Caenorhabditis elegans: one gene and its partners. The protein of the gene in region 1 purifies or fractionates together with the protein of each later gene. This does not show direct contact. Each region holds a gene or a part of one and is shown in the gene's direction. Other genes may lie near its edges. The genes, in order: pcca-1, aco-1, T02G5.7 and semo-1.

What was found.
Region 2: the proteins of pcca-1 (region 1) and aco-1 fractionate together in Caenorhabditis elegans (co-fractionation; one large-scale study listed by BioGRID). This does not show direct contact.
Region 3: the proteins of pcca-1 (region 1) and T02G5.7 fractionate together in Caenorhabditis elegans (co-fractionation; one large-scale study listed by BioGRID). This does not show direct contact.
Region 4: the proteins of pcca-1 (region 1) and semo-1 fractionate together in Caenorhabditis elegans (co-fractionation; one large-scale study listed by BioGRID). This does not show direct contact.

Annotation. Positions count from the first base shown.
Region 1 is NC_003284.9:7,657,012-7,662,918, reverse strand, and holds pcca-1 (Propionyl-CoA carboxylase alpha chain, mitochondrial), read left to right. Parts: upstream 1-1,932; 5' UTR 1,933-1,940; coding exon 1,941-2,017; intron 2,018-2,069; coding exon 2,070-2,164; intron 2,165-2,214; coding exon 2,215-2,414; intron 2,415-3,155; coding exon 3,156-3,806; intron 3,807-3,853; coding exon 3,854-4,141; intron 4,142-4,196; coding exon 4,197-4,901; intron 4,902-4,955; coding exon 4,956-5,114; 3' UTR 5,115-5,407; downstream 5,408-5,907. Other genes in the region: dhs-29 (NADP-retinol dehydrogenase), read left to right, coding at 345-513, 606-778, 821-923. UniProt on the Caenorhabditis elegans protein: This is one of the 2 subunits of the biotin-dependent propionyl-CoA carboxylase (PCC), a mitochondrial enzyme involved in the catabolism of odd chain fatty acids, branched-chain amino acids isoleucine, threonine, methionine, and valine and other metabolites.
Region 2 is NC_003284.9:11,338,122-11,343,858, forward strand, and holds aco-1 (Cytoplasmic aconitate hydratase), read left to right. Parts: upstream 1-1,752; 5' UTR 1,753-1,754; coding exon 1,755-1,845; intron 1,846-2,024; coding exon 2,025-2,193; intron 2,194-2,243; coding exon 2,244-2,381; intron 2,382-2,428; coding exon 2,429-2,498; intron 2,499-2,670; coding exon 2,671-3,479; intron 3,480-3,527; coding exon 3,528-3,816; intron 3,817-3,863; coding exon 3,864-4,442; intron 4,443-4,522; coding exon 4,523-5,041; 3' UTR 5,042-5,206; downstream 5,207-5,737. UniProt on the Caenorhabditis elegans protein: Catalyzes the isomerization of citrate to isocitrate via cis-aconitate. Has probably no RNA-binding activity.
Region 3 is NC_003280.10:7,073,977-7,077,707, forward strand, and holds T02G5.7 (Acetyl-CoA C-acetyltransferase), read left to right. Parts: upstream 1-1,637; 5' UTR 1,638-1,650; coding exon 1,651-1,780; intron 1,781-1,829; coding exon 1,830-2,377; intron 2,378-2,422; coding exon 2,423-2,796; intron 2,797-2,967; coding exon 2,968-3,088; 3' UTR 3,089-3,212; downstream 3,213-3,731. Other genes in the region: kat-1 (Acetyl-CoA acetyltransferase homolog, mitochondrial), read left to right, coding at 1-48, 151-414, 511-663, 714-849, 899-1,238, 1,313-1,433.
Region 4 is NC_003282.8:14,049,257-14,057,230, forward strand, and holds semo-1 (Methanethiol oxidase), read left to right. Parts: upstream 1-1,943; 5' UTR 1,944-1,965; coding exon 1,966-2,139; intron 2,140-2,238; exon of another isoform or gene 2,239-2,259; intron 2,260-2,537; exon of another isoform or gene 2,538-2,558; intron 2,559-2,579; coding exon 2,580-2,677; intron 2,678-2,692; exon of another isoform or gene 2,693-2,713; intron 2,714-2,739; exon of another isoform or gene 2,740-2,761; intron 2,762-3,018; exon of another isoform or gene 3,019-3,039; intron 3,040-3,111; exon of another isoform or gene 3,112-3,136; intron 3,137-3,204; coding exon 3,205-3,575; intron 3,576-3,652; exon of another isoform or gene 3,653-3,673; intron 3,674-3,727; coding exon 3,728-3,930; exon of another isoform or gene 3,931-4,395; intron 4,396-4,480; exon of another isoform or gene 4,481-4,505; intron 4,506-4,568; exon of another isoform or gene 4,569-4,589; intron 4,590-4,715; exon of another isoform or gene 4,716-4,736; intron 4,737-4,912; exon of another isoform or gene 4,913-4,934; intron 4,935-5,052; exon of another isoform or gene 5,053-5,073; intron 5,074-5,238; exon of another isoform or gene 5,239-5,259; intron 5,260-5,276; exon of another isoform or gene 5,277-5,297; intron 5,298-5,539; exon of another isoform or gene 5,540-5,560; and 20 more.

The DNA of each region.
Region 1 (5,907 bases):
AAAATGGCGAAAAATTAAAAATCAATGCCCTGTTTTCGCGTCTTATTATTATTTTTTTGAGAACTGTACAACTTTTCGTATTCGCAAAAAGAGCTGCCCGAATTGTTTTTCTGTCTGCGTCTAGTTTGTCTTTACACGCTCTATTATTGAGGTCACCATTGGTGTCCTTATTGATTCAGATAGTATCTCCTCTATTACACGAAGACACCCCTTCTTCTATCGTTTGAGAGAATCAAAAAAAAAAGAAACCAACTATTCATCTCCACTTACTTTTTGATTCTCGTACACTATGTAGAATATAGCCAACTAATGATAACATGATAAAATCTAATTTTTTATTTCAGTTTCTGCTCTCTTCAAGTGTGCCGGTCGCTTCGTAATTATTTGGGTGTTAAGTATTCCGCTTCAGATCCATCATTTTGCAAACTGACACTTATTGAAATGTCGGACTATTACAAAACTCCACAACTCTTCTGGTGGCTCCTCATTGTTCCAGCTCTGGCTATCAACTACGTAAGTTTTAAGGTTTCAAGTGAAAAAAAACTATGTTTGATAAAAATAGATATTTCAAAGCTTCCACTTCGATCTATATCTTTGATTTTTAGATTTCTTACGCCCATCCAGCAGCAGCACTTAATATTCCATTAATTGGATCTCTCGTCCATAAGATTGGAACTGAGTATCCATTTGTTGCTCTTTTAACCAACCTTTTCGCCCTTGTAGCACACGCCGGTGAAGCTCTTTACGCTCTTTATCTCTGCCATAAAGCCAATATCAGGTGAACTTTTTCAGTTGATTTTATAACAAATTGTATTTTCAGTTTTGCTTCTACCGCAAAATGGGTTGTCCAAACGTTTATTCTTGGTTTCCCGTCACTCTCTATTCTCAGTCGATACGAAGCCAAGCAGAGGAAGAATAATTGACTAGTAGTTGAAAATGTGTCTGATAGTTCCTAAAATGTATTAATTTTGTTTTTTTTTGCCAATGCAATGAACGACCATTTATTATCAAATAAAATGAAGAAACTCAACGAAACATTCTCAAATAAACAACATGTCGAGAGAAAGGCCAGTGTGTGCAAAGACGCAGAGAAGATCACTGCAAACGCGCTCCGTTGAGGTTGCTGTGTGAGATATCTTGGACAACCCCGCGCATTATTGGACTGTTTTTTGTTGTTTTATTGATCATGTAGTGGTCAATGAGCAGGTCATTCTTGCCTTCGCTGTTGCCAGAGAAGGTCGGCTTTTTTCTTCCCTGTTTTTGGTGATTTTGCCGTTTTTTTTTGTGTATTGAGTGTACTTACTGTGTGAGTCTTTAGATTTTCCGTTTCACGCATACACGTTTTTTGTAAAATTATTAGTTTTTGTAGGACTCTCGGTTCAAAAATTATAGAAAACGTGCAGACTGGACTATGAATTATATTCGAAGTTCTTCATTGTAACATTGTGAGGTCGTCTTTCCAACTCTCAACCTATCCCGGTGATTTTCTCGGTTTCTCTGCGTGTGTGTGTTCAGAGGACGAATACGTGCAAAATCGCAAGAAATGGGCAAAGAGAGAGAGCGGGGCAACTGCGCTTTGGGTCCATCAGAAAAGAGAGATAGACAACTTTTGTGAAAATCTTGTTGCGGGACAAGGGCACCGCACTTCTTGCTTTTCTCTTTTCTGGCCAGGCTATTTACTTCGTTGCTCAGTTGCCATTTCTGCATGTTTTTCTTATTTTTTCTACTAGTCGAAGTTTTCCTTCATAATCAATATAAAGAGAGTTTTCAAGGCATCGCTGTTTATCACTTAACTGACCAAATCAAATCGGTCGTCCTTATCTTTCTCCATCGAAGTTATACACGAAACTGTTTTTCTCCATCATCTTACTTTTTTCTTTTGTGAACTGCTGATGTCGTTGTTCATTTTATCATGAAAATCATTGTTTTTAGGTTGAACCATGCTCCGTGCTGCATCCAGTATCCGCGCTGTGGCCAATCGTGGATTGGCAACTGCTGCTGTTGCCAGACCAGGAGTGTAAGTTTCTGAAAGTTGTATTCGGTTTTGAGATCAATAGGTTCAATTTCAGACCACTTGATGAACGTGAGGGAAAGGAGATTTACACTACTGTAGGAATCGATTACAATGAGCCAAAGTTCGACAAGATTTTGATTGCCAATAGAGGTAATCTCAAGCATCTAAAAGAATCTTAGATTTAATCGTCTATTTTACAGGAGAGATTGCGTGTCGCGTGATCAAAACTGCCAGAGCTATGGGAATCAAGACAGTGGCCGTTCACTCAGATGTCGACAGCAACTCGCTTCACGTAAAGATGGCCGATGAGGCTGTATGTGTTGGAGAAGCTCCAACTGCCAAATCCTACCTACGTGCTGACCGCATCTTGCAAGCTGTCGAGGACACCGGTGCTCAAGCGGTAAGAATTCTAACGTGTCTATGTAATGGAAGGATAAACCGCAAAAATCAAATATCAGAGGAGAATGTAAATTCTGTGGCATGAATCTACATGCACAGTAGCACAAACATATTACCCAGACATCCGACAGAGAATAGAGTTTTTGCAAAAGTTCAGAACACCGCTCCAAATCAACTACTACTGTTCAAGAAGTCAGAGCGTTCGCGCTTAACTTCAAACGGAGAGAATAGCTTAAAAAAGTTGCTGACTGAAAAAATGTGAAATAAAACATTCCCTACATTTTGATAATGCTCAATTTTTTCATGCTCATATCACCTGGCTGAGATATGAGGGTTTGAAGTGATGAAGCTCTAGAGTTCCCTCTTATGGCCTGTTGAAAACTGTGGTGAGGTCAAATTATGAAAAGCACGAATTACCGCATTTTTCAGAGGACAAGCTAGGGTCAAACAGTTTGACAACCCGAGCGAGAGCTTTTGGCTGTGTAGCAGCTTAAGATTTACCGTAATATATTAGAAACCAGTTACTTGTAATATGCACGTGATATTCACCTACTTTCACTACGAAACACAACAAAACAAAAATTCTGTGACAAGTGACCAAGTGGTCTCTTTCCAGTCTCTAGCATCTCGCGTGTTTCATTTTCAAATAGTCAAAGTCAAATGACGAGAGATAGATTGCAAGTGTCTTCTGTTATGTTTTTCAAACAGAACTGCTAAAAACGTTGAAAACATATATTTGCAGGTTCATCCAGGATATGGATTCCTTTCCGAGAACACCAAGTTTGCCGCCGAGCTTGAGAAGGCTGGAGCCAAGTTCATCGGACCAAACTCTAAGGCTATTCTTGATATGGGAGACAAGATTCATTCAAAGAAAATCGCTACCGCAGCCCGTGTCAGCATGATTCCAGGATATGACGGAGAAATTGCTGATGAGGATATGTGCGTGAAAGTCTCCCGCGACATTGGATACCCAGTCATGATCAAGGCTTCTGCCGGTGGTGGTGGAAAAGGAATGCGAGTTGCCTGGAACGACAAGCAAGCTCGTGAAGGATACCGTTTGTCCAAGCAAGAAGCAGCTTCTTCTTTCGGAGATGATCGAATGCTCGTTGAGAAGTTCATTGACAACCCACGGCACATTGAGATGCAGGTGCTCTGCGACAAGCATGGAAACGCTTTGTGGCTCAACGAGCGTGAATGCTCCATTCAGAGAAGAAACCAGAAGGTTATCGAAGAGGCTCCAAGCAGCTTTGTGCCACCAGAGATGAGACGCAAAATGGGAGAACAGGCCGTTCAGCTCGCCAAGGCTGTCGGTTATGACTCTGCTGGAACCGTCGAATTCCTCGTTGATTCTCAGAGAAACTTCTACTTCTTGGAGATGAACACTCGTCTTCAGGTAATATCTCAGTATGGCCTAAATGTTTAATTTTTAAATACTCACAGGTCGAGCATCCAATTACCGAGTGCATCACTGGAATCGATATTGTCCAACAGATGCTTCGCGTTTCCTACGGTCACCCACTTCCAATCACCCAAGAGCAAGTGCCACTCAACGGATGGGCTTTCGAGTCTCGTGTCTACGCCGAGGATCCATACAAGGGATTCGGTCTTCCATCAGTCGGACGTCTCTCCAGATATGTTGAGCCAAAACACGTCGACGGAGTTCGTTGCGACTCTGGAATCCGTGAGGGATCGGAAATCTCTATCTACTACGATCCACTTATCTGCAAGGTAAAGGATAAATTAGCATTTAGATAATTTCAAGTGACTTACTTTGTAATTTCAGCTCGTTACGCACGGAGACAACCGTGAACAGGCTCTGAACCGCATGCAAGAGGCTCTCGACAACTACGTCATTCGTGGAGTCACTCACAACATTCCACTTCTTCGTGATATTGTCCAAGAGAAGAGATTCCGTACTGGAGACATTACCACCAAATATCTTCCAGAAGTGTACCCAGAAGGCTTCCAGGGAACCAGCCTCTCACCAAAAGAGCAAGACGTTGTCATTGCCTTTGCCTCGGCTCTCAACGCTCGTAAACTTGCTCGTGCCAATCAATTCTTGAACCAGAACAAACAACGTAGCACTCATGTGGCTTCCTTCTCGAAGACCTACAAGTTCGTGTCTTCTCTGCCAGTGAAGGAGGGTGAGAGGCCAACCGAGCACGCTGTTGAAGTCGAATTTGTCGAAGGAAGCGCCAACAAGGCCCAAGTTCGTATTGGTGGAAAGACTGTGACTATCAGTGGAGATCTCAACTTGTCTCATCCAGTCAACTCAATTGAAGTCGATGGAGAGCACATCACCACCCAAATTGTTGGCAAGCGCGCCGGAGAGATCACCGTTCTTTACAAGGGAACTCCATTCAAGGTCAAGGTGCTTCCAGAGCAGGCCGTCAAGTACTTGCAGTACATGAAGGAGAAGGCCAAGGTTGACTTGTCCACAGTTGTGCTCTCACCAATGCCAGGAGCAATCAAGAACGTCAACGTTAAGGTAACATTATTTTATCACTACCATTAGATGTGCTAAAACTGATTCAATTTACAGCCAGGAGATATGGTTTCCGAGGGACAAGAGTTAGTTGTCATGGAGGCTATGAAGATGCAGAACAGTCTTCATGCTGGAAAGACCGGACGCGTCAAGGCCGTCAATGTGAAGGTTGGAGCCACAGTCGACGAGGGAGAGGTGCTCGTTGAGCTCGAGTAGATTATTCTCACTGAACCTGAATTTTTTTTGTTGTTTTAATTACCGTTTTTTTCCTAATTTTGTACAATTCAAAGCCGCCACTATCTGGTATGGAGATTGATAATTTCATTCGCAGTTTCTCAAATTTCAAGCCATATTTATATTTTATTTTTGATGCCATTACCCTCACCTGTTGTATTCCAATCATCACGGACGTATTTCTCAGCCACCACCCTGTTTTGTTGCCCCAAGTATTATGTAGTGAATAAATATTGTAGAAGGCATTGCAAAAAGGTTGTTATATGAAGAAAAAAAAGCATTTGCTCATTTTTTGAACTTTTCAATTAGAAAATTATATATCTATTCTGTTTCTACATAACATAAGTGCAGATGTTTTGTTGATTAAATTTTCTATTTTTTGTGAAATAGCTTGTGTAAACTAAACATTTTACCATAGTCCATAATTGAAGCTCGGAAATAAGCGTTGTGAAAAAACTTGTCAGTTTGCAAATCTGTTTTAAAAATTTCAGATTTCTCTTTTTTATGTTCTTCTTTCATGTATCTCAATTTCAAAATATTGAATAGCAGTGCCAATTGATTATTCTGAAAGAAAATTGACAAAAAGACGAGTTGAGACGAGAAGATGAAACAGAAAATGATGGGAAGAAGAAAAAGAAGAATTTTTCTTCCAGTTTTTTTTGCCGTTTTCTGTTCTTTTCAATCTCATTTTAACTCACGTTTTTTGGTTTCGTGTGAGTAGTGTCACACTGATATTGTTAAATTCTGTTAACTTCTAGTTGAGAAAATAAATAAT
Region 2 (5,737 bases), 3.7 Mb from region 1:
ACAAGCGTCGAATCCTACGTTTTTCTGATGTACACTGATGACTAGGTTGTTGTGAATACATTAATAGGATCTCAGCGTAGAACTATGACACTGTCTAATGCAACATCATCGAAACACACGAAAATACTTTTAAAAAAACAAGCCGAGTTTTTTTTTTGGTAGTTTTCAGAATTTTTAACAGTGTTATTCATTTACCAAGTGTACTCCCTATTAGTTATACAGTGTGTAATTTTCTTGCATTTCTAAGAGTCATCCTAATATTAGAACTTCAATCAGTATTTCAATAATTCGGGACAAGACAAGGCGTACCTTGTAGAATTTTCAGATAATTCTTCAATTCCTGAAAAAATAAACCTAGACTTGTTCAAAACGTTTACACATGTTAGCACTTGTCTTGCTTTTTACAACTTAAAAGGCTACTAGAGGTAATACGGGGAATGATTGTGAGACCAATTTTAATAAAATACGTTTCTATGAATCTCAACTTGGGATCAAATAAAAATATATATGCAAAGTCTTTCTGAATAAAACATGGTTATACAATGATACGCGGTAAACTATGAAAAACGGTAATTGTAATATTATGAACCAGCCGTGGTCCGCACCTTCGGCGCGGCCCCCGACTTCTAGGGCTGAAAATCAATTTTTATGAAACTACCGTAACCCTACAGTATTCCTACCGTACCACTATTGTACCACTACAGTACCCCGACTATATCCCTACACTAACCCCAACTCACTATCCCTCCAGAAGTCAAAACTTCACAGACTACAAAGACTACATAGACTACAAACTATGGACACACAGAATAAGCGCTTTATATTATATATAGTAAATTATCATGAAGAACAGAGACATATGAAACAAAAATATCAATCAAAAAACCAACCAGCTTGTGCTCAAACATCTTCTGTTTTTTTAACTTAGTAAATTTTAGTCACGCTAACAGAAATTCCGTACTCTATGAATTTTGTGAACTACAGATTCTAGTGATTCTAGATTCTAGTGTATTAGTTTAGTTATAGCATGGATTCGATTGCATTTTTTCAAATGTTTTTTTTTTTGAAAAATAAAACGAATTTTTGCTCTTCAGTTTCCCAAAGGAATTTCCACCTCACCATCAATCTGTGCAAAGTTCTCCCACTTGATAATCTTTTTTAAATGATCTGATATCAATGATAACAAAAGATAAAAAATATCGGACACAAATCTCTGAATTTTCTTTTTATCTCTCAATATGTCTGAGAGCGCATTGTTTCAATTCTCAAAAAAACCACACTGCAACATTGTCGTAACCTCTTGGGTCAAGTACGCAACGTGTATGCAGATCGGCCCTCTTCTTCTCTTCCCACCGCACACTATTTCACTGTGCACATTTACCTTTTTTGACTGTTTCTTGAGTTCTGAGATGGTATCGTTTTTTCTCGCCGCCTTTTTTCTCGACATTAGCCTTCTAGAAACACTGGACAACGACGCAATTTCGTCCTAGCTGATATGAAAGATGACTATCTTCGACCGACCTTGGCACACACACACACATACACAACATACACAAAACGCTCTCACATTCAATACAGCCACACACACTAAGCGCGCTCAGACACACACAAAAACGGACAGGTCGACTACACCGATTCGGCACGCCTCCATTAGTTTTCCTCGCATTCTCTTTTTCATTACAATGCACTTTTGTCGTTCTTTTCTATCGAAATCCTTTTTTTTTTAAATTTTTTCCATATCTAACTTTCCAGATATGGCTTTCAACAACCTTATCCGCAACTTGGCTATCGGAGATAACGTCTACAAATACTTTGACTTGAATGGTCTCAATGATGCTCGTTACAGTAAGTATAACTATTTTACATCCTATTCTCAATCTATCTAAAATATATCTGCATATATTCAATTTTGGAACTTTTGTAAACGAAAAAAAAAACAGCGAATTTCGACGAGCAAGAATAAATTCATTATGTTAAAGTCATATATAAATCATTTTCTTTAAAAACCTTCCCAAAATTTTCAGACGAGCTTCCAATCTCCATCAAGTACTTGTTGGAAGCCGCAGTTCGTCATTGCGATGAGTTCCATGTATTGAAGAAGGACGTGGAAACCATTCTTGATTGGAAAAACAGCCAGCGTAACCAAGCTGAGATTCCTTTCAAACCAGCACGCGTTATTCTCCAAGATTTTACGTGAGCTTGAAAATAAATTACCAAATTTATGTACATCAAGCAATTTTCAGTGGAGTTCCAGCCGTCGTAGATCTTGCCGCTATGCGTGACGCCGTTCAAAATATGGGTGCTGACCCGGCCAAGATCAACCCAGTATGCCCAGTTGACCTTGTCATCGATCACTCCGTGCAAGTCGATCACTACGGAAAGTACGTTCTGCGCAACCTGGTTTATACATTTATTGTATTTTTTTCAGCCTTGAAGCCCTTGCCAAGAATCAGTCCATTGAGTTTGAGCGAAACAGAGAACGCTTCAACTTTTTGAAGGTAAGGAAAGGTGAAAATGCCACTTTCAGAGTTTCACTGTCACGTTTTACTCTCCCCATCACTTTTCGGAAAATCACGCTATGCATTTGATTGCCCTTATCACTACTTTGTTCAATGAACACACAAATATTCAGATAGCTTAAATGAAATTGTATTATCAAATTATTTTCAGTGGGGATCCAAAGCTTTCGACAATCTTCTTATTGTACCGCCAGGATCTGGAATCGTCCATCAGGTTAATCTTGAATATCTTGCCAGAACAGTGTTTGTTGGAAAGGATGGCGTTCTCTACCCTGACTCCGTCGTTGGAACCGACTCCCACACCACAATGATTGATGGAAGTGGTGTTCTTGGATGGGGTGTTGGAGGAATTGAAGCTGAAGCTGTGATGCTCGGACAGCCAATTTCCATGGTTATTCCAGAAGTTATTGGATACGAATTGGTTGGAACTCTCAGTGATACCGTTACCAGTACCGACTTGGTTCTTACAATCACAAAGAACCTTCGTGATCTCGGAGTTGTTGGAAAGTTTGTTGAGTTCTTTGGAACTGGAGTTGCATCGCTCTCCATCGCCGATCGTGCAACAATTGCTAACATGTGCCCCGAATATGGAGCAACAATTGGATTCTTCCCAGTCGATAGCCGTACCATTGACTACCTCACTCAAACCGGACGTGATACCGATTATACTCAACGCGTGGAACAATACCTCAAGTCTGTTGGCATGTTCGTCAATTTCACCGATGACTCCTACCGCCCAACATACACTACCACTTTGAAATTGGACCTTGGAAGTGTAGTGCCAAGTGTCTCCGGACCTAAGCGTCCACATGACAGAGTTGAGCTTGCTTCTCTGGCTCAAGATTTCTCCAAAGGGCTCACTGATAAGATCTCCTTCAAAGCTTTTGGCCTTAAACCAGAAGATGCCACTAAATCTGTCACAATTACCAACCACGGAAGAACCGCAGAGCTTACTCACGGGTAAGACTATAAATTAGAAGTACATGCAAAAAATAATGTTTCTTCCAGATCCGTAGTTATTGCTGCCATCACATCCTGCACAAACACCAGTAACCCAAGTGTCATGCTCGCAGCTGGATTGGTTGCCAAGAAGGCTGTTGAGTTGGGATTGAATGTCCAACCATATGTGAAAACATCCCTCTCTCCAGGATCAGGAGTCGTCACAAAATACCTGGAAGCATCTGGTCTTCTTCCATACCTTGAGAAGATTGGATTTAATATTGCTGGATATGGTTGCATGACATGCATCGGAAACTCTGGGCCACTTGATGAGCCAGTAACAAAGGCCATCGAAGAGGTATTGTTGAAACTACTGTTTTCTTTTCAAAATAATTGTTTATTCAGAATAACCTTGTCGTTGCCGGAGTTCTCTCTGGAAATAGAAACTTTGAAGGAAGAATTCACCCACATGTTCGTGCTAACTATTTGGCATCTCCACCTTTGGCTGTTCTTTACTCGATCATCGGAAACGTCAATGTTGACATTAACGGAGTTCTTGCTGTTACTCCTGACGGAAAGGAAATCCGACTAGCCGACATTTGGCCAACCAGAAAAGAAGTTGCCAAGTTTGAGGAGGAATTCGTGAAGCCACAATTCTTCCGCGAGGTGTACGCTAACATTGAGCTTGGATCCACGGAGTGGCAACAATTGGAGTGCCCGGCTGTCAAGCTTTACCCATGGGACGATGCCTCTACTTACATCAAGAAGGTTCCATTCTTTGATGGAATGACTAGCGAGCTTCCATCACAATCCGATATTGTAAACGCACACGTTTTGTTGAATCTCGGTGACTCGGTAACCACTGATCATATTTCTCCAGCTGGATCAATCTCGAAGACCTCTCCCGCCGCCAGATTCCTTGCTGGACGTGGAGTAACGCCAAGAGATTTCAACACTTATGGAGCTCGCCGTGGTAACGATGAGGTAAGAGTTTATTCATTCAATATATGATTTTCTAAAAACTTTGAATTTAACAACACATCACGTTTTTTTTTAAATTTCAGATCATGGCTCGTGGAACATTCGCCAACATTCGTCTTGTTAATAAGCTTGCGTCGAAGGTTGGTCCTATTACACTCCATGTGCCATCTGGAGAAGAGCTCGACATCTTTGACGCTGCTCAAAAGTACAAGGATGCCGGAATTCCAGCCATCATTCTTGCTGGAAAAGAATATGGATGTGGCTCATCTCGCGATTGGGCTGCAAAGGGGCCATTCCTCCAAGGAGTCAAGGCTGTTATCGCTGAAAGCTTCGAAAGAATTCATCGTTCCAACCTGATTGGAATGGGCATTATTCCATTCCAATATCAAGCTGGTCAAAACGCTGATAGTCTCGGACTTACTGGAAAAGAACAATTCTCAATTGGAGTTCCAGACGATTTGAAGCCAGGACAGCTCATTGATGTGAATGTATCCAATGGTTCAGTTTTCCAAGTCATCTGTAGATTTGACACTGAAGTCGAACTCACCTATTACCGCAACGGAGGAATCCTCCAATACATGATCAGAAAGTTGATCCAATAAACTGTTATTTTAGCTTAAATTTTTGAAAGTCAATTTTTTCTATTTTTAGATAACTATTTACTTTTCGATGCATCAATCCTTCTCTATTTTCTGTGATATTTTATGAACATGTTTGAAGTCCAATAAATTTGTGATTTGGAGCAACGAAATAAATCAATACTTTTTATAATTGGGCTATAAAACATGTGGATGGTCAAATTTATTTTAGTTTTGGCGTCTCTGTTTTGCTAAAACCACTTAAATTCGTAATATTTTACTAAAACTCAACAAATAACGTATTTCTACTATTTATAGGAGAAAGAAATGTGCTTCCAGTTTGACAGTGTTTAGGATATAACATTTTGCAACTTTTTCTTAAAGGTCGTCATCACTAATTGTATTTTTTGTTCTCTCAGTCATAAGAGTATAAATAAATAAGAAAACATCTTCATTGAGAACAACAAAATTGGGTGTAAAAGCTCAAACATTCTAGTTGTTTGAACAAAATGAACAGAGAGATTACGGTATTTATTTGTACTGAACTGACTTTTTATAGACTAACATTTCAGCAGTTCATTCGTACTATTCAGTCCCATTTAAAAGTGCACACTCACCCAATAAAATCTCAGTTGCCCTATAGCTAACATCACTAAAGTAATATGAGACCCTTGCCAGCGCAAAAGATATTTTTATTTCAAAATAAGTAAATTTTGCATA
Region 3 (3,731 bases), on another chromosome or scaffold:
AAAGCAGCATTGGAGCGTGGAGCAGTGAAGCCGAGTTCAATTCAGGAGGCGAGTGTGTTCTTTGTTTGCATTTTTCTATACTAGTAATATCTGAAATTCTATATCACTTCCAAAAACTACCGATTTAATCTTAAAATGCCTCAATTTCAGGTGTTCCTTGGTCAAGTCTGTCAAGCAAATGCTGGTCAAGCTCCCGCTCGTCAAGCAGCTCTTGGAGCCGGACTCGATCTTTCGGTTGCTGTTACCACCGTCAATAAAGTGTGCTCTTCTGGGCTGAAAGCAATCATTCTTGCTGCCCAGCAAATTCAAACCGGTCATCAAGATTTTGCCATTGGCGGAGGAATGGAGAGCATGTCACAAGTACCATTTTATGTTCAAAGAGGAGAGATCCCATATGGTGGATTTCAAGTGATTGTGAGTTTAATTTATTTTTCTAAAAAATATTAAATTGTCTAAAAATAGTCTTTAAACTTCTTTAAAAGAAATCAATGCTCACATTTTCTTATTCAGGATGGAATCGTCAAAGACGGACTGACCGATGCTTATGATAAAGTTCACATGGGAAACTGCGGAGAGAAGACTTCAAAAGAAATGGGAATTACACGTAAAGACCAAGACGAATATGCTATCAACAGCTACAAAAAGTCAGCTAAAGCATGGGAGGTTTGTCAACTGATTGCTCTTTGTGCGTTTTATGATTCCATGTTGTTTAGAATGGAAATATCGGACCAGAAGTGGTGCCAGTGAACGTCAAATCAAAGAAGGGAGTCACGATTGTTGATAAAGATGAAGAGTTCACAAAAGTCAATTTCGACAAGTTCACCTCGCTGAGAACTGTTTTCCAGAAAGGTTTGTACTATTCTTATCGTGAAAATTGAAATCAACATAATATATTAAGACGGAACTATCACTGCTGCTAATGCTTCAACATTGAACGACGGTGCAGCTGCTGTCATTGTTGCCTCACAGGAAGCAGTTTCCGAGCAAAGCTTAAAGCCTCTGGCCCGAATTTTGGCTTATGGAGATGCCGCCACGCACCCACTCGATTTCGCTGTAGCACCAACTTTGATGTTCCCAAAAATTCTTGAAAGAGCAGGAGTGAAGCAATCAGATGTTGCTCAATGGGAAGTTAATGAAGCCTTCTCATGTGTTCCCCTTGCTTTCATCAAAAAACTAGGAGTCGATCCATCCCTTGTGAACCCACATGGAGGAGCTGTTTCAATTGGTCACCCCATCGGGTATGTTGCCATATCAGTTGACCGTTCTTTCCGCATTCTTATCGTAAATTTGTTATCGATTATTTTTCTTTCAGAATGTCCGGAGCCCGCCTCATCACTCATCTTGTGCACACACTCAAAAGTGGCCAAATCGGAGTTGCTGCCATTTGCAATGGAGGTGGTGGCTCAAGTGGAATGGTTATCCAGAAATTATAGATTTATAATTTAACTTTTTTCGTTTAAAGTTTGTTACCTTTTTTCACGATTAGCTTGTATTTATGTATTTTTCGCTCATATCGAAACTCCGGTAAATAGATTCATTTATTATTTTGATTATCTACTTCTCTTTCATTGGTTTCAAACCAATTTCAGTTATCTTTTTTTATTCGTATGCGATTTTTCTAATAATCCAAAGTTCAGACAGTCTATCGCAATGTCGGATAAAAAAGTTTTCATTCTGAGTGGAGCTCGCACTCCCATCGGAGCTTACCGAGGATCTTTCGCTAACTTTGGCGCAGTTGAGCTCGGAACGGTCGCTGCAAAGGCAGCAATTGAACGATCAGGTTAAATTACTGATAATGAAATTTTGAAACAAATATTAAATATTTTTAGGAGTTGCTCCGGAGAAAATCGAAGAAGTAATTGGTGGATGCGTACTTCCGGCCGGTCTAGGACAAAATGTGACCCGACAGATCTCTTTGTCGGCTGGTCTTCCAGTAACAACGCAAGCTGTTACGGTGAACAAGGTTTGCTCTTCTTCGATGAAAGCCTTGGTGACAGCAGCTGTGGAAATCAAAGCAGGATATTATGACACTATTCTTGTTGTTGGAACTGAAAATATGAGTCAAGTTCCATTTTACGTGCCGAGAGGAGAAATTCCATTTGGAGGAATCCAGATGACAGATGGAATCTCGAAGGATGGACTTGAAGATATTAAAGAGAAAGGTCCAATGGGATTATGTGCTGAGAAGACTGTAAAAGATTATGGAATTACTAGAGAAGAACAAGATGCATATGCTATTGAAAGTTATAAAAAAGCTTCAAATGCATGGAGTTCTGAAAAGTTTTCGGAAGAAGTGGTACCAGTTAGTGTTAAGACTTCGAGATCGGAAGTAGTGATCACTGAAGATGAGGAGTATAAGAAACTGATCGAGTCAAAGGTATGCAGAAAGAAAATGTTTATCAAAAATATTAAACTTATTTAGGTTTCCTCTTTGAAACCAGTCTTCGTTCGTGACGGCACTGGAACCATCACACCGGCCAATGCATCTTCGCTTAATGATGGAGCTGTCGCAACTGTCGTTGTCGGAGAGAATGCTCTTCCACAAGGAGCTCATCCACTTGCTGAACTCGTGGCATTTGCTGAAGCTGGAAGAGCTCCCATTGATTTCACCGTGGCACCAGTGGACGCCGTTCGTCTTCTTCTCAAAAAAAGCGGGCTCCAAGTTTCAGACATTGCATTGTGGGAGCTCAACGAAGCATTTGCCGTCACTGTTCTTGCTTTCATCAAAGAACTTAATATTGAGCCAAGTGTTGTTAATGTAAAAGGAGGTGCAGTAGCGATTGGGCATCCACTTGGGTAAGTTTTTTTGTTGATTCAAACTTCAGTGAGCGTTTTCGGAAAAATTAGAATGTGTACAGAGAAAATTCTGATAGCAAAAAAACATTCTAAAACACAAAAACAAAACATACAAATTTTAAAGTAAACTTTAAGTCCGAACAAACCTATATTAATTTTAATAATTTTCAGAATGTCTGGTCTCCGAATCGTCAACTCCCTTGCATATTCTTTAGCTCCAGGACAGCTCGGTGTAGCTGCAATTTGCAACGGAGGAGGAGAAGCCACAGCAGTGCTCATCAAAAAACTGTAATATGAACCTCTTGCCTAAATGTTTTCTGGTCTTCTATTCATCATTCCTTGATTCACTTTTACAACAAATTTCGATTACGTATTTATAAATAGTTAAGGTTCTTGTCACATAAATGTTTATTCTCAAATGGTGCATACGTGTTATTGATTGGGAAATGAATTAAGGTTAATATGTACATTATCAGGAATGGTTTTGAGCCATCTCAAAAGAGATATACTGGAAAAATCGGAAAAGCATTTTTCTTTTGAGATATATCATTCATTCACGTCTTCAAGGCAAAACATATAAGGGGAGATCGTATACAAATAATCACAGGGAAGAATTGGTGGATGATAAAATGATCCCATAAACCATTATTAGTTTGAGAGATCAAGTTGGGGGAATGAGAATATTAAGGGGGGAAGAATTTAACCGGGAAGCAAACATAGAGCGATTTAATTTTTCCGGGATTTGCTTTGCTAGGCGGTTCCAGGTGGCGAGGTTGGCTCTGAGGAATCCTTTGTTTGTTTCGCCAACAGATCTGAGCATGTAGGGGTATCTTGGAGTTACAGCTTTCTTCACCGACGATGACACATTTGGGTAGTGGAAGTTTCCAGTTATGATGTTGTGGTAGGTGCGAAGGATCTGCAAGACCCGCCTATAT
Region 4 (7,974 bases), on another chromosome or scaffold:
TTTATGTATTTTTAAATTTTCATTTCTGTCTAATTCACAGACTTTTGCTTGCTTCACTGTTTTGTATACTTTTTTTTGAAACACCGTACTTCACCGTGCCAAAATTTTTGCAAAAAATGTTTTAAAAAATTGTAACCAAATTTGTCTTGATTAGAAATTTTGACTTAGAAATTTTGAAAATTGATTGTTTTTAAAAAATCGGAAAAATTGAAAAAAACCCCAATATTAAATTTTATGTGAAAAAAACATATTAAAAGCGCTCAACTTGCATTTCAAATCGAGACTAACTTGAAATGTGAATAAATTTACCGATTGTAGAAAAACTTCAAAACTGCAAATTTAAGCAAAATTGCACCAGTTAACAGTTAAGCTATTAACGGCTTACGTTTGCTTAAAGTTTGCAAAAAAATGTTTAACTATTTCACTAAAACTTCATTAGGCGTTTCAATAAATTTTATATAATACAATGAGAAGCAATGTGAAAATCCAATAAAATTCAAATGAAAGATTGATAACATGCCTCATTTTACTATTGGTATGAGTTTTCTATTAGTATTGTAACAGTATTAACATGTAGCAATATTAACTGTAATTTCCCCATATATTTGTGGAGATTTTTATGCTTAAGGTGGATTTGAATGACTGTTCTCATGAGGAAATATGAACAACTTAATATTCAAATTTGTTTATATTTCCAATAATAAAAAAAAAATAAAAATAAAAAAAATTTCGCATGCTGAAAGACGCCGAAAGTTTTTTTTTCATCGTCGACCAATTTTTTTTAGCGAGTGACATTTGCCGTTTGCCGTTTGCAGCACCTAAAATAAATAAAAAATAAATAAAATTGTTGTTTAAACCTTTTTATTAGTGGAAAACGTAATAAGAAATTTGCAAATTTAATTAACCCAAGCTGAGTTTTTCTAAAAATTTGCTATATTCGCGATACATTTTTTTACTGTTTCAAGGAATCCTCATGGAGATTTTCAATAATTTACAGTTGATCCCATCTTCATCAATAATTTTGTCCTTCAAATTTTGGAATTTGTCGCGCGCACAACCCTGAATAATTGTTTATTATTTTTCTGTTAAGCCTAGTATCAGAAGATAAATTAAAAACGAAAAAACTCACTATTTTCAATTTCAAATAAATTCACGTTTTGTAGTCAGATCGGTTTTCCAAAATTAAAAAAAAATGTTATCAAAATATCTGTGCACTTTGAATCAGTCACACAATGTTCACAAATTCATCTCTAAATTCAAAAATTAATCTCAACCAGAAACGGTACTTGTAGTTTGTATCAGAATAATTTCCTACGTGTTTCTAGTAGATTTCTAGTTGGTTCATTGAACAATCATCTTGATGACTGCTAGAGATAAGACATAGAACAGCTAGTGATACCTTATCAATGTCATCCCCTTCTGTTGTCGATTGTCTTTTTCATTTTTGATTTTTGTGTTCAGTTCGTTATATAAATAGAGAGTAGTGGAAAACTGACAAAGTTCCTGCAAACTAAACCCGTCTGAGCCAAAATTAATTGTTTTCAAAACAGTTTTGTCACCTTTCCAAATAATCCTTTTCAAAAACAAAATTATTTTCAGTTTCACTGTGTGTTTATAAGTTTCACATTTTTCAGTTTTTTTTGGTTTTGCTACATCCGCGTTAGTTTTTTAACTTACAAATTTTCGCTGTATTTTTTTTTTAATTTTTACATTCCCCTTTTTAGAGCTGTGACAAAAAAAGTAATTTTTTCTGAAGCTAAAAATGTTTGCCCAAAAGTTTTCGTGCAACTTGTTTTCAAAGCTACAAAAATAGTGTCAAACTTGAAAAAAATTTAATTTTGCTATAGTTTAATTCAGCAAAAAATTGTATGTATGTAACTTTTTAATCCATACTACTGATTTGATTATATTGTTTGATTTTAAAAAAAAGTCAATATTTGCAGATCAAAAATCCCAAAAACCAAAATGTCCCCAAACTGTGGTTTAAAATGTCATGGTGGTCCAGGATATGCATCTCCAGCTGATGCTATAAAAGGACCACGAGAAGAAGTTTTATTTGTGACTGCTCCAAATGCAGCTGATGGTCCTGATGCCATTTTTACAGTTGATGTGAATCCAGAGAGTGACACTTTTTGTCAGGTAAATTTTATTTGTAAAGTTGATTTTTTTTCTTGTTTGGAGGAAAAAAATACTGTTTCAAAAAGACGTATTGAGTTTTAGGAATAACTAATTTTTTGATTGTCTTTTGTAGATCACGTCCATAAAGCTTGAAATAACTGTTTCTATATCAGAAAAATTGTTCAAATTACCGGAATAAAATTGCAATTTTGCAATTTTCATCTCTGTTGCATCAGCCAAAAATAAATCAGGAAACTTTGATTTGATCTCTCTGATTTCAAGGTTATCTCAAGCTTAAGAGTTTTAAATCGATTTGCACGATATATGATTGTATAGTAAAAATTAAAAATTATTATTTAATTGAAAAAATTATCGGTTTCAAAATATTGATATCCACTCGTAGTTTTAGCATTTAGAGATCGATCAATCATAACATTTTCCAGTAAAATTAATATTTTCAGGTGATCAGCCGAGTTGATGTGCCACATATTGGTGATGAAGTCCATCATACTGGATGGAATGCGTGCTCTTCTTGTCATGACAAACCAACTGAGAAGAGGTTAGTTAAAATATTTATTGTTTTAGGATGATACTATTACTCTATTAGTACAGGTGGCAAAATTAAATCAACTGTTCGAAACATCAAGTTTTGTTTAAAAATTTTTTTAATTAAATTTTCATTTTTGAAGTGTGGTTTTCCGACTTTTTTTTTTTAAAAAGTGGTCACAATAACATGTTTTTTTTTATTCTTCAAACAAAATCATCATATATTTGATAAATCTATAGATTCTCCCTTGTTTGTTTTTCTGATTTTTAGATTTTCTCAAGAAAAAACTGATAAACCTAAATTTTTCCACGACCCTTGATACGGATGCAAAAGCTTTGTAATAAAATCAGATCAGAGCGACATTCACGAGAAGATCATTTTTATAAATTTAGTTAGACTTGAACCAATTTCTTGAAACAGTTTTTTAATTCGAATTTACAAACTTCACATTTCAGTCAACTGAAAGATCAATAAATTTTTAGATCGGAGAACTTTCATTAACAAACCAAAACAGTAGAATAATTTCTAAATAATTTCAGATCCCATTTGATCGTTCCTTGCCTGAACTCTGACCGTATCTACATTATCAACGTAGAAAATGAGCGTAAAATCTATCTTGAACATACAATTGAACCATCAAAACTTCATTCTCTAAACCTTTCATTTCCACATACTTCACATTGTCTTGCCGATGGAAATATTATGATTAGTACTTTGGGAGAAGCTAATGGAACTCCATCTGGTAACTTTTTGTTGTTGGATGGAAAGACATTTGAGCCGAAAGGAACATGGCCAGCTGACGAGAAGACTGTTCCGTTTAACTATGATTTCTGGTACCAGCCAAGGAGAAATGTGATGATTTCTACGGAATGGGGATCACCGAATCATATTAAAAAGGGATTTAATCCAGGTGGGAAAACTGAAAATACTTTTAAAAAATCACTGTTTCAACACCTCTTGTTTCATTTTACCAAAAATTAAAATTATTCCTTGCGGCATGAGCCATCAGCATCACTAAAAACCAAAAAGTTACAAATTTTTTTAAAACATGAAATTTTCCAGCTCACGTCGGAGAGGGTCTCTACGGAAACAGTGTTCATATTTTCGAATGGGACTCTAAGAAATATCTTCAAACAATTGATCTACCACAGCCACTTGGAGCACTTCCACTTGAAGTTCGATTCCTCCATGAGCCAACCAGTGAGCACGCTTTTGTGGGATGTGCTCTTGGATCAGGAATTTTTAGAATTCATCCTGTTGAGGAGGTGAGTAATATTCAATAGAATTTTCAGAAAAATTGAAATGTTTCAATAAGTTATTATTTGTTTAGAAACTGAGATTAATATGTTAAAACCGTAGAATAGAATCAAGATTAAAATTATTGTAAAACTAATTTGCCGAGCTCGGAAAATTTTGAGAACTGCCGCACATCCTTGATTGGGAGGTAGCAAAGTTTCCAAAACTGTTGCTTCTTCCAGAGTACTCAAATTTTATTCCATGAAAACTCTTCAGTAGAGTGTTTGATTTTTCAAAAGTTTCAGTCAATTGAAAATGGTTAAACAGTTTTGGAGATCAATGCCGTGATTTTACGAAAACATTGAAACATTCAAAAAACTTTTCAGTTTCAATTTGTCCTCATAACACACTCTGTTGTTTTTAGTTTAGTTCTGTTGGTATTCCTGTCATCTATTGAAATAGATCCGGTTTTTAGAATTCATCCTGTTGAGGAGGTGAGTAATATTGAAAAGAATTTTTAGAAAACTTTTAGAAAACTGTTTCAATAGGTTATCATATTGTATCTTATTGGAAGTTTATTTCATTTGCTAATCCAAAAAAACGTATGAAATCAAATATAAATGATCTTCGTAGGGGGAGTTGACAATTTATCAATAGTACTGATATTTTCGTTGTCAGTAATTGAATAGCAGTGTTGTAAGCTGATGTGTAACTTTCTGGGATCACCGAAACATTGCATTAGAAACTTTCAAGTTTAAAAATAAATAAATTGTTTCAATACGTTGTTATCAAAACTTCCGTTCTATTCAATTGATTTTTTTTCATTCCCGAAGTTTTCTGAGCAAGTTCTTTGGCAAAATGACTAACTTTCGAGAAAAATGTGGACATTTTGAGAAAATCAGAGCGCTTTCGTACATTTCAAATCCTTTAATGCTTTGGCATACATGATTAGGGCATAATTTGAATTTGAAATTCAGAGAAAGTTGTGTAGACCAAACTGCTATTTTTCTTTTTTTTCATTTGGAAGAACCAATATTAATTCAAAATAGTTTCAGTATTTATAGACTACTTGAAACATATAATAATTTTTAAAAAATATCTTTGAGTGTTTTTAATAATTTATTTTTAAATCAGTTTATAGATTCATTAAACGTTTAACAATGATGCAAATACTAAAAACGTATTTTTCCGAGTTTTTTAAAATTAGGTTAGTGAAACAGTAGATTTTTGATGAACCTTTTTTTAAAAAGCAGCATGCATTTAGTTTTGACAAAAAGTTCAAATCGATTTTTTCTGCGTGACTGTGAATCAAGAAAACTCGGTCAATTAAAGAAAGAAAAAATATTTTTTTTTCGACACTAAAAAATAATTTTAAAGCGCGGACATTATAGTCTCAGTGAAACTTTATTCAAACCAAAACGTTTAATCAGCTAATTGAAACATTAAAAATTTTATGATTTTGTTAGTTTTTCTAGCAATGTCAATGCAATCAAATAATTTTCAAGTAAGATGTTTAATGAGTTATAGACTTTTTTATTAAATTTTTGAAAAAAAAACCGATTTCAGATTTAAGTAAAATTATCTCTGCTTCTGCTGCATTGCTGCGAAACAAAAATTCCTTTCTGTGCAAAGTATAGTCTCACTGGAAATCAAGTTCGAGTGACAATTAGAAATCTCACCGGGTTTTCTAGATCATCTGAAACATATAATTTTAAAAAATTGACACCTTGTTCAACTTGAAACATTTAATCAGCCAATCGAAACATTAAATGTCTCATGATTTTTAAAGCTCTTTTAGAACAGTCGATAAGTCACGCCACAGTTCAATTGAAAACAATTTTCTAGCGAGATGTTAAATGAGTTTGTTGAAACAGTAGATTTTCGTGTAAACTTTTGAAAACAAAAATTACGTTTTAAATAAAATTATATCCACTTCAGCAGTGTGCCCTTGAAACAAAAAAGCTCGATCAAAAAATTTATTTTTTGTGAATGGCCACCAACTTTTCAGGCAAAATTACAAAAAAACATAAAATTTACTGTTTCAAAAAGTTAATATAATTTTGGCAGCGCATATACCTACACTTATTTCGACAGTTCGCGATAACCTCTTTTTGAAAATAAAGTTTTTCAGAAAAGTTGCTTCTTTCCTGTTCTCGAGGTGTTCTTTTAACACACTTTGTATTTTTTTTCTTGTAAAATCTCAAAATTCTGATAGTCAGTATGAAAATAGTTGCCAAATGTTTGTTGAATACTACTGAAAACAAATCTTCAGTGATACGTTGAATGAGAAACATTCAATTTTTCAAATAATTCCAGAACTCAACAACCCATGCAGCTACTCTCGTTGCCTTCATTCCTTCTAAAAAAGTAAGTGGATGGGCTCTTCCAGAAATGCCAGCTCTTATAACTGATATCCTTATCTCAATGGATGATCGTTTCCTGTATGTCTCGTGTTGGCTTCATGGAGATATTCGTCAATATGACATTTCTGATCCATTGAAGGTGAAATTGAATTCTCAAGTTTATATTGGAGGAAGTGTACATACGGAATCAAATGTAAAAGTTCTAGAAGGTGAAAAACCAATTGAAGCACTTTATGTGAAGGGACGGAAAATTGAAGGAGGTCCACAGATGTTACAGTTGTCATTGGATGGAAAGAGACTTTATGTTACAACTTCTTTATACAAGAAATGGGATGATCAATTCTATCCAGAACATGTCAAGTGAGTGCTACTTATGAAAAAATTTAGAATTATTTCTGAGAAAAAAGTTACCGTTTCATAAATGTAGTATATTTTGAGCAAACTATTTCCGCTCACTTGTGGGGCTATTCGCGAAATGTAATTCTTTTTTATTCATTTTATTCATTGAACCTTTGTCCTTACGAAACAAATTATCTCGAATTTTGTAGTTTACACTAAAAATACGCTCATGGTGAAATTATTGTTTAGAAAAAAAATCACCGTTTCAAAAATCTTTCATATTTGCAGCGATTCTCTCTCACTTGCTGAGTTGATTTTATCACGAATTCATGTTTTTCTTTGTTTTTCTAGTCTAAATAATTTTTAAAAAAAAGAACAACTATGAGAAATCGATAAAACAGTTCAATAGCTGCAGCACCGAAAGTTTGAAATTACACTACTCTTTAAAGGCGCACACACGTTTTCCGTTGAAAAAATAGTCACGTCGAGACTTGGTAATGTTTCTTTTCGTCCGCTTAATAATTCATGATAATTTCAAAAAAAAAACACCAAATTCGTCCTACTTTCTCAATGGAGCGCGTTTGCAACCCTGTCATTTTTCAGATCTGGCGCCACAATGGTTCAAGTCAACATTGATCCAGAATCTGGAAAAATGGAAATAAATCGAGACTTTTTGATCGATTTTGGAAAAATTGAAGGAGGTCCCTATTTGGCTCACGAGATGCGTTATCCCGGTGGAGATTGTACATCGGATATTTGGATTTAATTTGGTTTTTTTTAAAATGTTTTGCATAAAAAATTAGCTTGTACATATTCATCACAATTCATTCAGATTTTCAAAAAAAAATTGAAAGGATTTTTCAACTCATGATGCAACTAGAAAAACGGGGGAAACCAGGCGAATAAATATTGAAAAAAGGGGATTTTTGTAATGTGAACGAAGCAATCATCATATATGGTACAAAGAATGTGGCGAGTTGAAATCACGGGAATTTAGTAGAATTGCACAAAAAAATTATGGATTAGAAAGTAGGAAGAAAATATATGAACATCCGGAATTCTCCTCAATAAAAACTGGCTCCTTTTATCGATTGTCTTTTTCATTTTTGATTTTTTGTTCAGTTCATTATATGAATAGACAGTAGTGGAAAACTAACAAAGTTCCTGCAAACTAAACCCGTCTGAGCCAAAATTAATTGTTTTCAAAACAGTTTTGTCACCTTTCCAAATAATCCTTTTCAAAAACAAAATTATTTTCAGTTTCACTGTGTGTTTATAAGTTTTAAAAATGAAAGACATTTGATTCAAATGACCTACAACTTTTCTGAATATCTCAAAAATGAAAACTCAAAAAAGATGATCACTCGAACT